2 linked regions of the Canis lupus familiaris genome follow. Each later gene encodes a partner of the first gene's protein in a complex. Links are inferred from orthologs where the notes say so. Each region holds a gene or a part of one and is shown in the gene's direction. Other genes may lie near its edges.

Evidence for each region. The genes of interacting proteins can lie anywhere in the genome.
Region 2: STRN3 (region 1) and PDCD10 share a complex: the UniProt entries of both Homo sapiens proteins name them as parts of the core of STRIPAK complex. The link is inferred for Canis lupus familiaris from reciprocal best matches to the Homo sapiens genes STRN3 and PDCD10.

The regions. Positions count from the first base shown.
Region 1 is NC_049229.1:10,405,335-10,410,767, reverse strand, and holds part of STRN3 (striatin-3), read left to right. Parts: intron 1-2,415; coding exon 2,416-2,545; intron 2,546-3,786; coding exon 3,787-3,928; intron 3,929-5,433. UniProt on the Homo sapiens protein: Calmodulin-binding scaffolding protein which is the center of the striatin-interacting phosphatase and kinase (STRIPAK) complexes.
Region 2 is NC_049255.1:32,806,020-32,811,968, reverse strand, and holds the start of PDCD10 (programmed cell death protein 10), read left to right. Parts: upstream 1-2,150; 5' UTR 2,151-2,308; intron 2,309-5,949. Other genes in the region: SERPINI1 (neuroserpin), read right to left, coding at 1,696-1,774. UniProt on the Homo sapiens protein: Promotes cell proliferation. Modulates apoptotic pathways. Increases mitogen-activated protein kinase activity and STK26 activity. Important for cell migration, and for normal structure and assembly of the Golgi complex.

The DNA.
Region 1 (5,433 bases):
AGCATGAAAAAAGGGTAAAGTCTCAGACCTTTAATAATCCATGGTGGCTTTAATTTTCATTTTTTTAAAGACTAATGATGTTGAGCATCAGTTTATACCATCCACATATCTTTTGATACAGTGTATGAATAATGTTGCCATTTTTTATTTTTTTGTTAATTGTTAGCCCTTTAAGTGTTCTTTATATGTTCTGAATACAGGTTATCTTCATCAAATATGTGACTTGCAAATATTCTCTCCCAATTCATAGGCTTTTCTTTAAATTCTGTTAACAGTGTCTTTCAAAGAACAAAGTCTTTAATTTTGGGATGTCTGAATCATTGTCTTTTAGGGATTGTATTCTATTTGTTTTTTAAAGCCATCCATGTGTATTGCTGTGATTAAATACAAATTTTAAAACCTAAAACATGAGTTTCACTTTAGAGAGAGACATTTCTAGCCAAGGGACAGCACTACTTTATTTGTGGAAGTTCAGAACAGAATTATCATGTCTTATATGTACTATTTTCTATTTTTCTGTCATTAGTGTACCAATTTTGTCAATTATCTTTGTCTATTTATTCATTCATTCATTCATGAGAGACTCAGAGAGGGGGGGCGGGCAGAGACAGAGGCAGAGGGAGAAGCAGGCTCCATGCAGGGAGCCTGACGTAGAACTCGATCCCAGGACTCCAGGATCATGCCCTGGGCTGAAGGCAGGCGTTAAACTGCTGAGCCATCCGGGCTGCCCAGTCTTTTAATCCCCAGATGTTATTACATATTATAAATGTTGAGCTGGAAAATGTGCATTGTGTTGTTGTGGTAATTTGTATTTGGGAAAATCATCTCTTTGTACATTCCATTTTGATGCAGGTCCTTAAACAATGAGCTGGATTAGGCAGAGTATAGTAGACCTATTAAAATCCTATGCTATGTTAAAAAATAGTCTGAATTGGGGTGCCTGGGTGGCTTAGTTAAGCATCTGACTTTTTTTGTTTGTTTTTTTTAGTAAGATTTTATTTTATTTGAGAGAGAAAGCAAGAGCACGTATGCACGGGGGGAGGGGGGGGGGGAACGGGAGAATCCCAAACAGATTCCACACTAATGTGGAGTCTGACTCAGGGCTCGATCTCACCACCCTGAGATCATGACCCAAGCTGATACCAGAGTCAGACACTGACTCTGGGTGAAATGAGCCACCCAGGAGCCTACGTATTCTGTTGATTTCTGCTCAGGTCATGATCTCAGGGTCCTGAAATTGAGTCTTGTATTGGGGTGGGTTCCTCACTGGACATGGAGCCTGCTTAAGATTCTCTCTTTCCCTCTCCCTCTGCCCCTCCCTCCCCTCGCTTAAAAAAAAAAAAAGTCTGAATTTGAATTGTATTGTGTCCTTAGAAACAATCAGGGAGGTGAGAAAGCTCCAAATTTTAGATTGTTATTCTTTTTGGTACCAAAAGATCTAGTTCAACCCAAACAGTTTATAGGTAAAGAAATTGAGGATAAAAGGTCTAAGTGACTTGGCCAAATTCCATCATCTAGTTAATGGAAGAGCAGAGAGACTTATTGTGAGAGTCTGTGTTGGGCTGAAATTGCCACTGTTCTCTTGTTTTTTAAGATTTTATTTTTTTATTCATGAGAGACACAGAGAGAGAGAGAGAGGCAGAGACACAGGCAGAGGGAGAAGCAGGCTCCATGCAGGGAGCCCAATGTGGGACTAGATCCCGGGACTCCAGGATCATGCCCTGGGCCGAAGGCAGGCGCTAAACTGCTGAGCTACCCAAGGATCCCCTGTTCTCTTTTGTCACTAGACATTTAAACAGCTATTTCAAAACCTCTTATTTGTATATAGTGGGAACGTAGATTATAGTTTAAAAAGTGACTTCATAGGTAGATAAAAATAGATAACTTTATTACCTATTAAATGAATGGTTTTGAGAGACTTGGAAGTATTTTTTTAGTATATTAAGAATCCTGTGAGAAAATCTGTGAAGTTTATTGGAATATTTATATCTGATTTACCCCACCACTTTAAATCTGGGCAGATTTTAGTCTTCAGACATTTGGGCCAAGCTGTAAGAGATTGTAGAACTATAAGAAATGCTAAGCTTTTGTTTCTTGCTTATGATAGCTTCATTTTGAGATGTAATACCATATTTGAATGTCTGTTATAAGATTTTGACACAGTAATTACTCGAAGTATTTTGGTCAGTAATATTGGAGAAACTTAATGGAACAATCACTTTTACTTTATTCAGAAAACATAAATATTCTTCATAATATTCTTTTCTTGGATAAAATACTTAGGTAATGCATTATAAATAGATTGTCATTGGAATCTCTATACTACTTTCAAGTATTGTTTTAAAATATGAACCGGAAAGAAATGTTAGAATTAACTATTAGAATATTTGGATTCATCTTTTTCCCTTTTGACAGGCCCTCTGGTGATGTTCTGGAGACATTCAATTTTTTAGAAAATGCTGATGACAGTGATGAAGAAGAGGAAAATGACATGATTGAAGGCATCCCAGAAGGAAAAGATAAACATCGGTTGAATAAACACAAAGTAGGAACTCAAGTTTTAATTTTTATTAGCTAAAACAAATATACACATGTATTTGGAATAGAAATTTTCAAGATATCTTAAGTTACATTGAGAGTGATTATTTTTTATCATCTCACTTGAAAGTTTTATGTATTATCAGTTATTATTATCCACATATAGTAGAAATTATTATTTGCTGTATCATTCACTAAAGAGCAAAAAGGGGTTTTTATAGAACTAGTCTGGTGATTTGAAACTTAAAAAAAAAAACAAAAAAAACAGAACCCCTTCTCCACTCCTGCTACAATTAAGAATTACTGCTGAAGTCTGTCTCTTCATGTTCAGTAAACAGGTAATAAAGTGAAGCTGCAATGGGGATACTCCCACTCTGGGTGAGGGAGTAAACTGTGGATTGTAAATGTATGTGTCCACATTCTTGGTAAGGATTAATAAAAATGTACTTCTGTTCATAACCTAAGAAACTGGATTATCTATTTTATCAGTGATGTAGGTTAGTTATAAAAGTATACACAGATTAGATGATCCATTTATGAATTATCATGGTAGTGTATAGTATTTCAAGTATTTTAAAAAGTGTGTAGTATTTTAAGTATTTTAAAAAGAGTGCATAGGTTAAGTTTTTGTTCCTTGGGATGTTATAATAATGTTCTTGTTCGTCAAGAAAAGTTTCTAGGCTATAAAACAGTTTTCAGTGTTCTGTCACATTTCATGTGTGTAGCATGGGTGAATGGAGATTTTGATCCATCTCTCTCTCTTTTTTTTTTTTCCCCCTGGGAGGCAAAGCACTGTTATTATCACAGCTACTAACTTAAGATCAGTTAAAATCCTTATTAGCTATGCCATATCCTTGTGAATTATTAACTGCATATGCAGTTCTCAGTGAGTGAAGTCAGTTTAACACAATGTACCAGAATGTGAGTGAAAAGGCCTATAAATAGGGGTAATTGTGAATCTATGATAATTAAAGAACTTAATTTTTTATTAGTATAGTATCTTAACCATTTTTTACTACCACATTACTTGCATCACATCTTACAGTAATCTTCACATGACACTGTTAAGAACCATTTATATAGAGTGTAATTTGGGATTGGTGAAATAAGTAGAAAAATCTAAAATTTTGTATATGTAAGTAATGTAAAAATGGGAGTGCAAATATAAAGATAATTGTCTGAAAACATATAAAGGATCCCTTTAAAATCTAGGATAAAAGTAATTCTTGGCTTATGTTCCATTTACAGATAGGTAATGAAGGTTTAGCTGCTGACCTAACAGATGATCCTGATACTGAGGAAGCACTGAAAGAATTTGATTTTTTAGTGACTGCTGAGGATGGTGAAGGAGCTGGAGAAGCACGGAGTTCAGGAGATGGCACAGAATGGGGTAAGGTGATAAAGAAATGTGGGGGTGGGAGAATAGCTTTTAAAAATGCATTGCTATTAAGTATTATATGTGGAATGTGAGTATTTGAATGTGTGGTGGCAGTTAAACAAGAGCAAGGGGAAGTGGTGTTAATAATTTCAGGGTATTTTGCAACAATTTATTTAGATTTGTGACAAAACTATTGTTTGATGTATGTCTTTTGGTGGATTTTGACTTCTGAAATTTATTTTGATTTAAAGTTGAAAGAAATCCAATTTCTTTCTTCTTACATTTAAAAAAAGTGTGTAGTTTTAAACATTCCCATCATTTAATTTGATAATAAATCTAGGTTTAAAGATTTAACTCTTCCATTATGCCCGTATGATGTTGCCTGACTTATTGCTAGAAAGTAATAGAGCTCCTAATCCTAAATTAGAGCTTTACATTGAACAATGTTTAGTGAGGGTATTAAGCTTTATTCATATAATATTTAGGATGTATATGTCAGGGCCTAGCCTTTAGAAATGACGCATAATGCTAATAATAATCCACCCATAACTAAAATAAAACAGTTGTATTTATACAGTGTTAAAAACCATTTAAAAAATAAAAGTATAATAATTATATTATGATAGTAGCTGAGGTCCACTCTGTTGTTCAGTTAGCTTTTAATACCAGCACGTTATCTGGCAGGTAGAACTCACACTATATTACAGAGCTTTATTGGAGAAGGTTAATAAATTGTACCTTAATGCATCTTTCAAAGAAACACCAAAGTTGCTTAGTTACTCACAAAAGGAATTATCATTAGCTTCTTAAAAACTACTTTGGTGATGAGGATCATATGTTATTTAAAAATGCCTCATTCGTGTATTGAAACTGAATTTGCTAATAGAAAGAGAAACAAAACCTAATAGGTGATAAAATTATTTATTATCCTGATAACAATTCAAGTACTTAAAAATCTGAATTTTGTTACCAGCTTTCTTATTGATTATAATTCTTAAGCATTGTTTCAGACTTTTACTTAATCTCTTCTAAGTGGAAAGAGAAGAGGCACATTCATGGAAAATAGGAAAAAGCTTCAGAATTGCTTTCTAGACTTGGAATATACCTTTTTGTACTTACTATTTGAAAATGGCTATATTCTAGTTTACTTTTCTTAAGAATTAGCCTTGCTCAGGAGACACTTTAATAAAAATATCAAAGTTTTCTTTAAGCTTCTTTATGCAACTCATTCAATGTTGGAAATATCTAATTTTTTTCCCCAGTAGTTTCTAAAGTACTGTCTTTTTTCAGGTTATTTTATAATTACATAAGTACATTTAAATTATATAAATATATAATTATTTCATAACTCATGCATTTTAGGAGGTTTAGAACCCACATATACCTGTGAAGAAGAAATTAAAAATAATCTATAATGCCACTATGTAAAGAGAATCATGGTTAACATACATGAGTATCTATCTTTACTTAACAAAAGATTTTGCTGAGTGCCAAATTATAACCTACCCTTTTCACCT
Region 2 (5,949 bases), on another chromosome or scaffold:
TCCTAAGTAAATGAGGAAAGCATGCAAACACGAAAATAAAAGGTAATTTCTCCATTGTATTGATCCTAGGTAGAAAAAAAAAAAAAAAAAAAAAACAAAAACCCCAGATTATTCGCCCAGACCCGGGAGTACACAACTGTCACAATGAAAGCATTTCAGAGCAAAATGTGCTGCAATATGCTACTATGATTAAAAGCCATGTAATCTGAAAGACCTCTGTAACAAAAGGAAAAATAGCTATTTACACACTTTTCTAAAAAAAAAAAACAAAAACAAAAAAAAAAAAAACAAAAAGGCTGCAGTTTTGTGATAGTTACACAAAGGGAGGTGTGACTTTCACCTATACCTAGTATTAAGACCGTATTTTCATCCACAGGTATTTGATAACATTCGAAGAAATTGCACATGGTTTAACACTAAGAATAAACTACTATTTTATGATACTATTACATGTGTTTTACGCCTAAACCCGTCACAACACATACTGGGGGTAATCATTTAGCACACACTCCCTAAACAGGAAAGATCCTCACACAGTTTTTTCCTGTACTTTAGTTTTTTTTTTTTTTCCCCCAAATGTACAATTACCAGCCCCAAAAGAGAGGATAAGGAGCGGCAATGAAGTACACCATATGTTCCCACTGTAGGCTGAGTCCTAGTCTTTGTTCCAACATCCTAGAGCCGCTGTTAGGAAAGCTAAGTATCCATCCATCAAAGCGGTTTTACGGTATTGCGGGCAAAGTTATACTTCTGATAGGTTTGGTCATCTCGATTATTCCTGCCTGCATTTGCTTCCTTAATACAAATCCCTTTCAATTTTGGGAACCTGCGGTAAACCGCCCTGGAAAACAGGTCGGTCGCAGGACAACCTGATAAAGCAACGCACAGGGTAAACACTGAAGAAGAAATGCAAAGTTATTTTCCTAGTGCAAGAGTTTTGAAGTAATTCCGTATCAATGACAAAATCTTTTTTTTTTTTCTTTTTGCCAGCTGCGCACCTACCCAGATATCATCCACCTCATCCTCAATTAGCAGGGTTTCGCTCAATCTTAACATCTCCCAGAACAGTTTTAATGCTATAACTCACACCAAAGACCACTAACCACGCCCTTTATACCCAGAATCAAGCCACCTTTTGCTTCCCCCCCCCCCCCTTACAAAGTCCAAAATGCACATCCGATTTCATCTAAGAGGGTTCGCACCGGGTCCCTACCCCGAGTCGGAGACCCTAGCTGCGCCCGGAGGATTCCCCTGGAAGTCGCTGTCTCCCGGGCGCCGCGGGCCGCGCGGAGGGGGCGCCCACGCTTACCTCCCACACACCTGCAACCCCTGGCGGGATGCTGGAGCCGATGCTCGCGGGACCGCGCTCCGCTCCGCCCGAGCTCCTGCTCTGGGCTCTCCCGGGAAACTAGAGTCCAGCCTGCGCCTCGGGCTGCTACAGGGACCCAAGCTCCGCCTCCCGCTCCTCCAGTTGGCGAATTCGGCGGCTGTCGCTCCTCCCCCTGCTGCTCCTGCGGCCGCCCCGGCTGGCGGCGGCGGGAAGCGGCTGCGCCCGAGCCTCCCCGCTCCCTGCGCTTCTGCAGCTGTTCGGCCGCTTCCCTTCCCCGGGCCCCCCCGCCCCGCGCCGGGCTCACACCTGCAGCTGCTTCCTGCCCTGCCCCGCCCCGGGCGCCTCCTCGAGAAGCCCAGGCTCACCCGATCCCTTCCCGACGCCGCCTGGCGTGCCCGGGGCTCGTCCGCGATCGGGGAAGCCGCTGCTCGGGCCTGGACGCATCCCCCCTCCCCTCCCTCCACCCCGGCGATTCCCCGCTCGGTGCAGCGTCCGCGGCTCAGCCGCCCCACGTTACCCTCCTCAGGACCTCCCCCCCGCACCCCCTTCCTTCCTGGGCCCTGCCAGCCCGCCCCCACAATGGGTGAGCCGCCCGCAGGGCCGACCCAGCACCCTGATTGGTGCAGGTGAGGGCTGACCCCGCCCTTCCTCCTCCTCTCCGACACCCTCTCTCCGCGTCTCACCTCCTCCCGCAAAGGCAGGGAACTCTCCTGCTATTGGCTAGAGCTGTCCCCACCCATCGCCTTGGGCTCCACCGCACGGCCTGCCGGGAGTCGTAGTCCGGCCCGTGTCGGAATGGCCGCCGACGGCGGCTGGCGGGACTACAAGTCCCGAAAGGCCCCTGCGCGACTCCGGCCGGGCAGGATTCCGGACAACGCCTGGTTCCTCTCGGGTCCTTCCGGCGTCGCCGGAGTGAATTGATCCGGGAGTTGAAGAGGGCTCCGAAGGTGGGAAGTGAAGTCAGTGCCTCAGTTGCCGGTAAGGTGTGGCCGCCCCGTCCCGGGGTGCGGAGCCCCGAGCGGCGCGGAAGAGGGCGGGGGTCGCGCGGGGGTCGCGCGGGGGCCGTCGGCTGGGCTGTGGCGGGCGGCGCGGACGCGGCGGGGAGCGGGGCCCTCTGGGCGTCAGCGAGGGTCCCCGGCGCGAGCGGCGGAAAGCGGGTTCGTAGACGCCGCCTGCCCGGTTCGGGCCCGGACGCCTCCAGGAAGTCTCCTCCAGGTGGGGGCGGGAGGGGGAGGCGAGCGTGGCCTCGGGTGCCCCGGGAGGAGGGAGCGGGCGGATGTGCCTGGGGTGGGGTCCTCCGAAGGTGTGGCCTGGGGCGCGGAGAGGTGGCTGCTGCTGCTGCCCTGCGCTTGCAGGTCGGCTGGGGGAGGAGGGGCGGGGAGGGGCGCTGGGGAGTGGCTCTCGGGGTGACCCCGGCTGTGCCCTCTGGGGAGGAAGAGTGCGCCGTCGGCTGACGGGGCTCTGCGGGTTCAGGTCCAGTTCCCTGACGTGGCCCCTCTCCGGAGGCAGGTCTTGCCTCTGACCCCCGGGGGGGGCAGTTCCCAAGGTACCTTTACACCCCTTGTGCTTTCAGAGACTCTGTTCTCAGGCGCCGACCAGAAGCCGAGGGGACAGGCGACATGCCCAAGGTCACACACCTGGGGACAGGTCTGAGTCCAAGCCGCTCATAATCCAGTTTCTTTCTTTTTTCTTTTCTTTTTTTTTTTTTAAGATTTTTATTTATTTACGCATGAGAGAGACACACAGAGAAAGAGAGAGGCAGAGACACAGGCAGAGGGAGAAGCAGGCTCCACGCAGGGAGCCCGACGTGGGACTCGAACCCGGGTCTCCAGGTTCCCACCCCGGGCTCAAGGCCGCGCCAAACCGCTGAGCCACCCGGGCTGCCCTATATAATCCAGTTTCTGACTCAGAGGTGCCCACTCACCAGAAAGAGCAGGGAGGTTGGGTGTTTTTTTGTTTTGTTTTGTTTTGTTTTTTTGAAGTGAGTAGGGGGAGATTGCAGAGTAACGCATTTTATGGTTTTCTTAGGAGCCCTTTGTGAGATGAAGAGTTTGTGTGTGTGTGTGTGTGTGTTTTCTGAGTTGGAGAAATTCCTCCATGAAGGAAGGACACACACTTTTTTTTTTTTTTTTTTTTTTTGAAAAAGAAGACTGAGTTGCAGCTGACTTACGGATGTATTAAGCGATGGACTACATTTCAAACGGTAGAGAATGACCTAGGAGAATGTCAAAATACATCCCATCCTCATATTTAAGAGATACACCGCTTTCCCTCCCTACCTTAGGGCTGACTGTTGCTACTCTCACTTGAGTAGAGCCGGCAGCGGTAGTGTGGGAATTCTTTCACAAGACTTATTTTTTATTATTTTTTTTACGTTGTGTTCAAGTCACAAAGCATCAGGAGAGGTGACTGTGCTCCTTTACTAGAAAAGAGGGTACGTTGCATTTCTTGGAAGTAGCATCACATTTTTTGTTGTTGTTGTTGACTCCTGTTTCCTTGTCCCCCTCATTTTCTGGACTCCAGTGTGTTGGTGAGTTTTTCTTAGCTTAGTCCATGACTTTTAATTCATCCTATTTAAAGAATGGGAAAAATTGGACATTTACATTTTATTTTTAAACATTTTTTTTAAGATTTTATTTATTTATTCATGAGAGACACAGAGGAGAGAGAGGGGCAGAGACACAGGCAGAGGGAGAAGCAGGCTCCATGCAGGCAGTCGGACGTGGGACTCGATCCCTGGTCCCCAGCATCGCGCCCTGAGCTGAAGGCAGGCGCTAAACCGCTGAGCCACCTGGGCTGCCTCACATTTATATTTTCTATTGAGCAGAGAGCAGTATGCTTGTAACACAGTTTTCTCCTTTATAATTGTTAGTGTGACCATTCATAGCTTATGAATATTATCTTTCATAGAATCTTAGGTGTGTGTTTTTTGACATGAGGATTTCCTTTGTGTTGTTTACATACAGTAATTCAGTATCTACTGATAGCTAGTAGTTAATCGTGGTTTAGTGTCATGTAAGTTGACCACTGAAATATGCTGCTTTTTGAATGTACTCTGCAAACGTAGGTTCTACAGTGTATGACTTTTGAATGCAAAAACACTTTCTAGGATCGTAATATTGCATATTGCTCCCCTTTGACTGAAGTTAAGATGGTCTGGAAATTAGTATGACCTTAAAAGTAGAATATGATCCTATAGAAAGAAGTAGGAAGAATAAGAGTAATGTAGCACCATGAGTAATGCAGTACACAAGGAAGGAAGACCAACTAACCAAATGAACCAGTGGGGATAACTGGTTCCATGCTATGTTATAGACGGAAATGGTAGTTTACATGGACTTCAAACTGAACATGAGTGAGTGATGGTAAAGCAAAAATGTTAACATGTTTTCTAGACAGCACAGGAGGTGTTTCCTTTTTGTTGAGGGAAGTGTGAAATGAGTTCTCTAACTTTTGGCATGCAGCTATGAGGTTGTGGAATGAGCTTTTGAACTACAGGAAAATTTGGAAATAAGTAAAATTAATTTATTTTTTTAAAGAAGATTTTATTTATTTATTCATGAGAGACACAGAGAGAGAGAGAGAGGCAGAGACACAAGCAGAGGGAGAAGCAGGCTCCATGCAGGGAGCCCGACTTGGGACTCGATCCGGGGTCTCCAGGATCACACCCTAAGCCATAGGCAGGTGTTAAACCGCTGAGCCATCCAGGGATCCTCCAGTAAAATTAATTTAATGCTAGTTTTTTTGTTCTGGGTTCAGTTCTATCATTACTCTTCATCTCTGAGGTCCATCCTAGTTTGGATAATTCATCTATATTTAATGATGGAGTAAGGTTTTTATTGTATTTATCATCTTTCAGTCACAGGCTGGTACCCTGTGGTCACTTTAGATCTCAGCACATTGAAGAATTTAGGGTTCCCAGAGTTATGTGTATAATTGTATTTTTATAGTAGTTTGTAGTTCACCAGTATCCACATTTGTTCTCAGTTTTGGTTTTGCAGGAGCCTTGTGTCAGCTTTTGGATCTCTTACAGGCCTTAGGATGTTTCCCATGTGCATCTGTCTTTAAGGGTAGAAGTTCATGAGAACAGGACTCTGTATTACTGCATTCCCAGTAGCTAAAATAATTGAGTACCTGTTTACAGTGTATGTAGTTCAGATTGGTTAAACGTAAGGTCATGTAACTAGTGACTGGTGGGATTAAGGCATAATCCAGGTCTTGTGACTGTAGATCTTACTGTTATAGAATGAAGACCCAGTTCCTAAAATTACTTATTTCACACGAGAAAAGGACTTAAAATGACTTAAATATTCAAATTCTCTTACCTTCTTACTTTTTAATGCTCGCAGTTTATCCTTTGCCTCCTTTTCAGCTTTCCATCCTATCCCCAGCCTTTCTTATTTACTGCACCTTTCAGTTACTATATAGCAAGTTCCTTCCTGATTTGGGAACCTTTCTTTGTGTTCCATCTCCCTGGGGACTGCACCCTCTCCCCTTCCCAAATCTGACCAACTCCTAGTTCATTTGCAGATCTCATTTAAATGTCATTCCTCAGGGGAACTTTTCCTGACCTTCTTTGACCCCTCCTTCCTGAAACTAGAACTTACTATAGTAAGTTC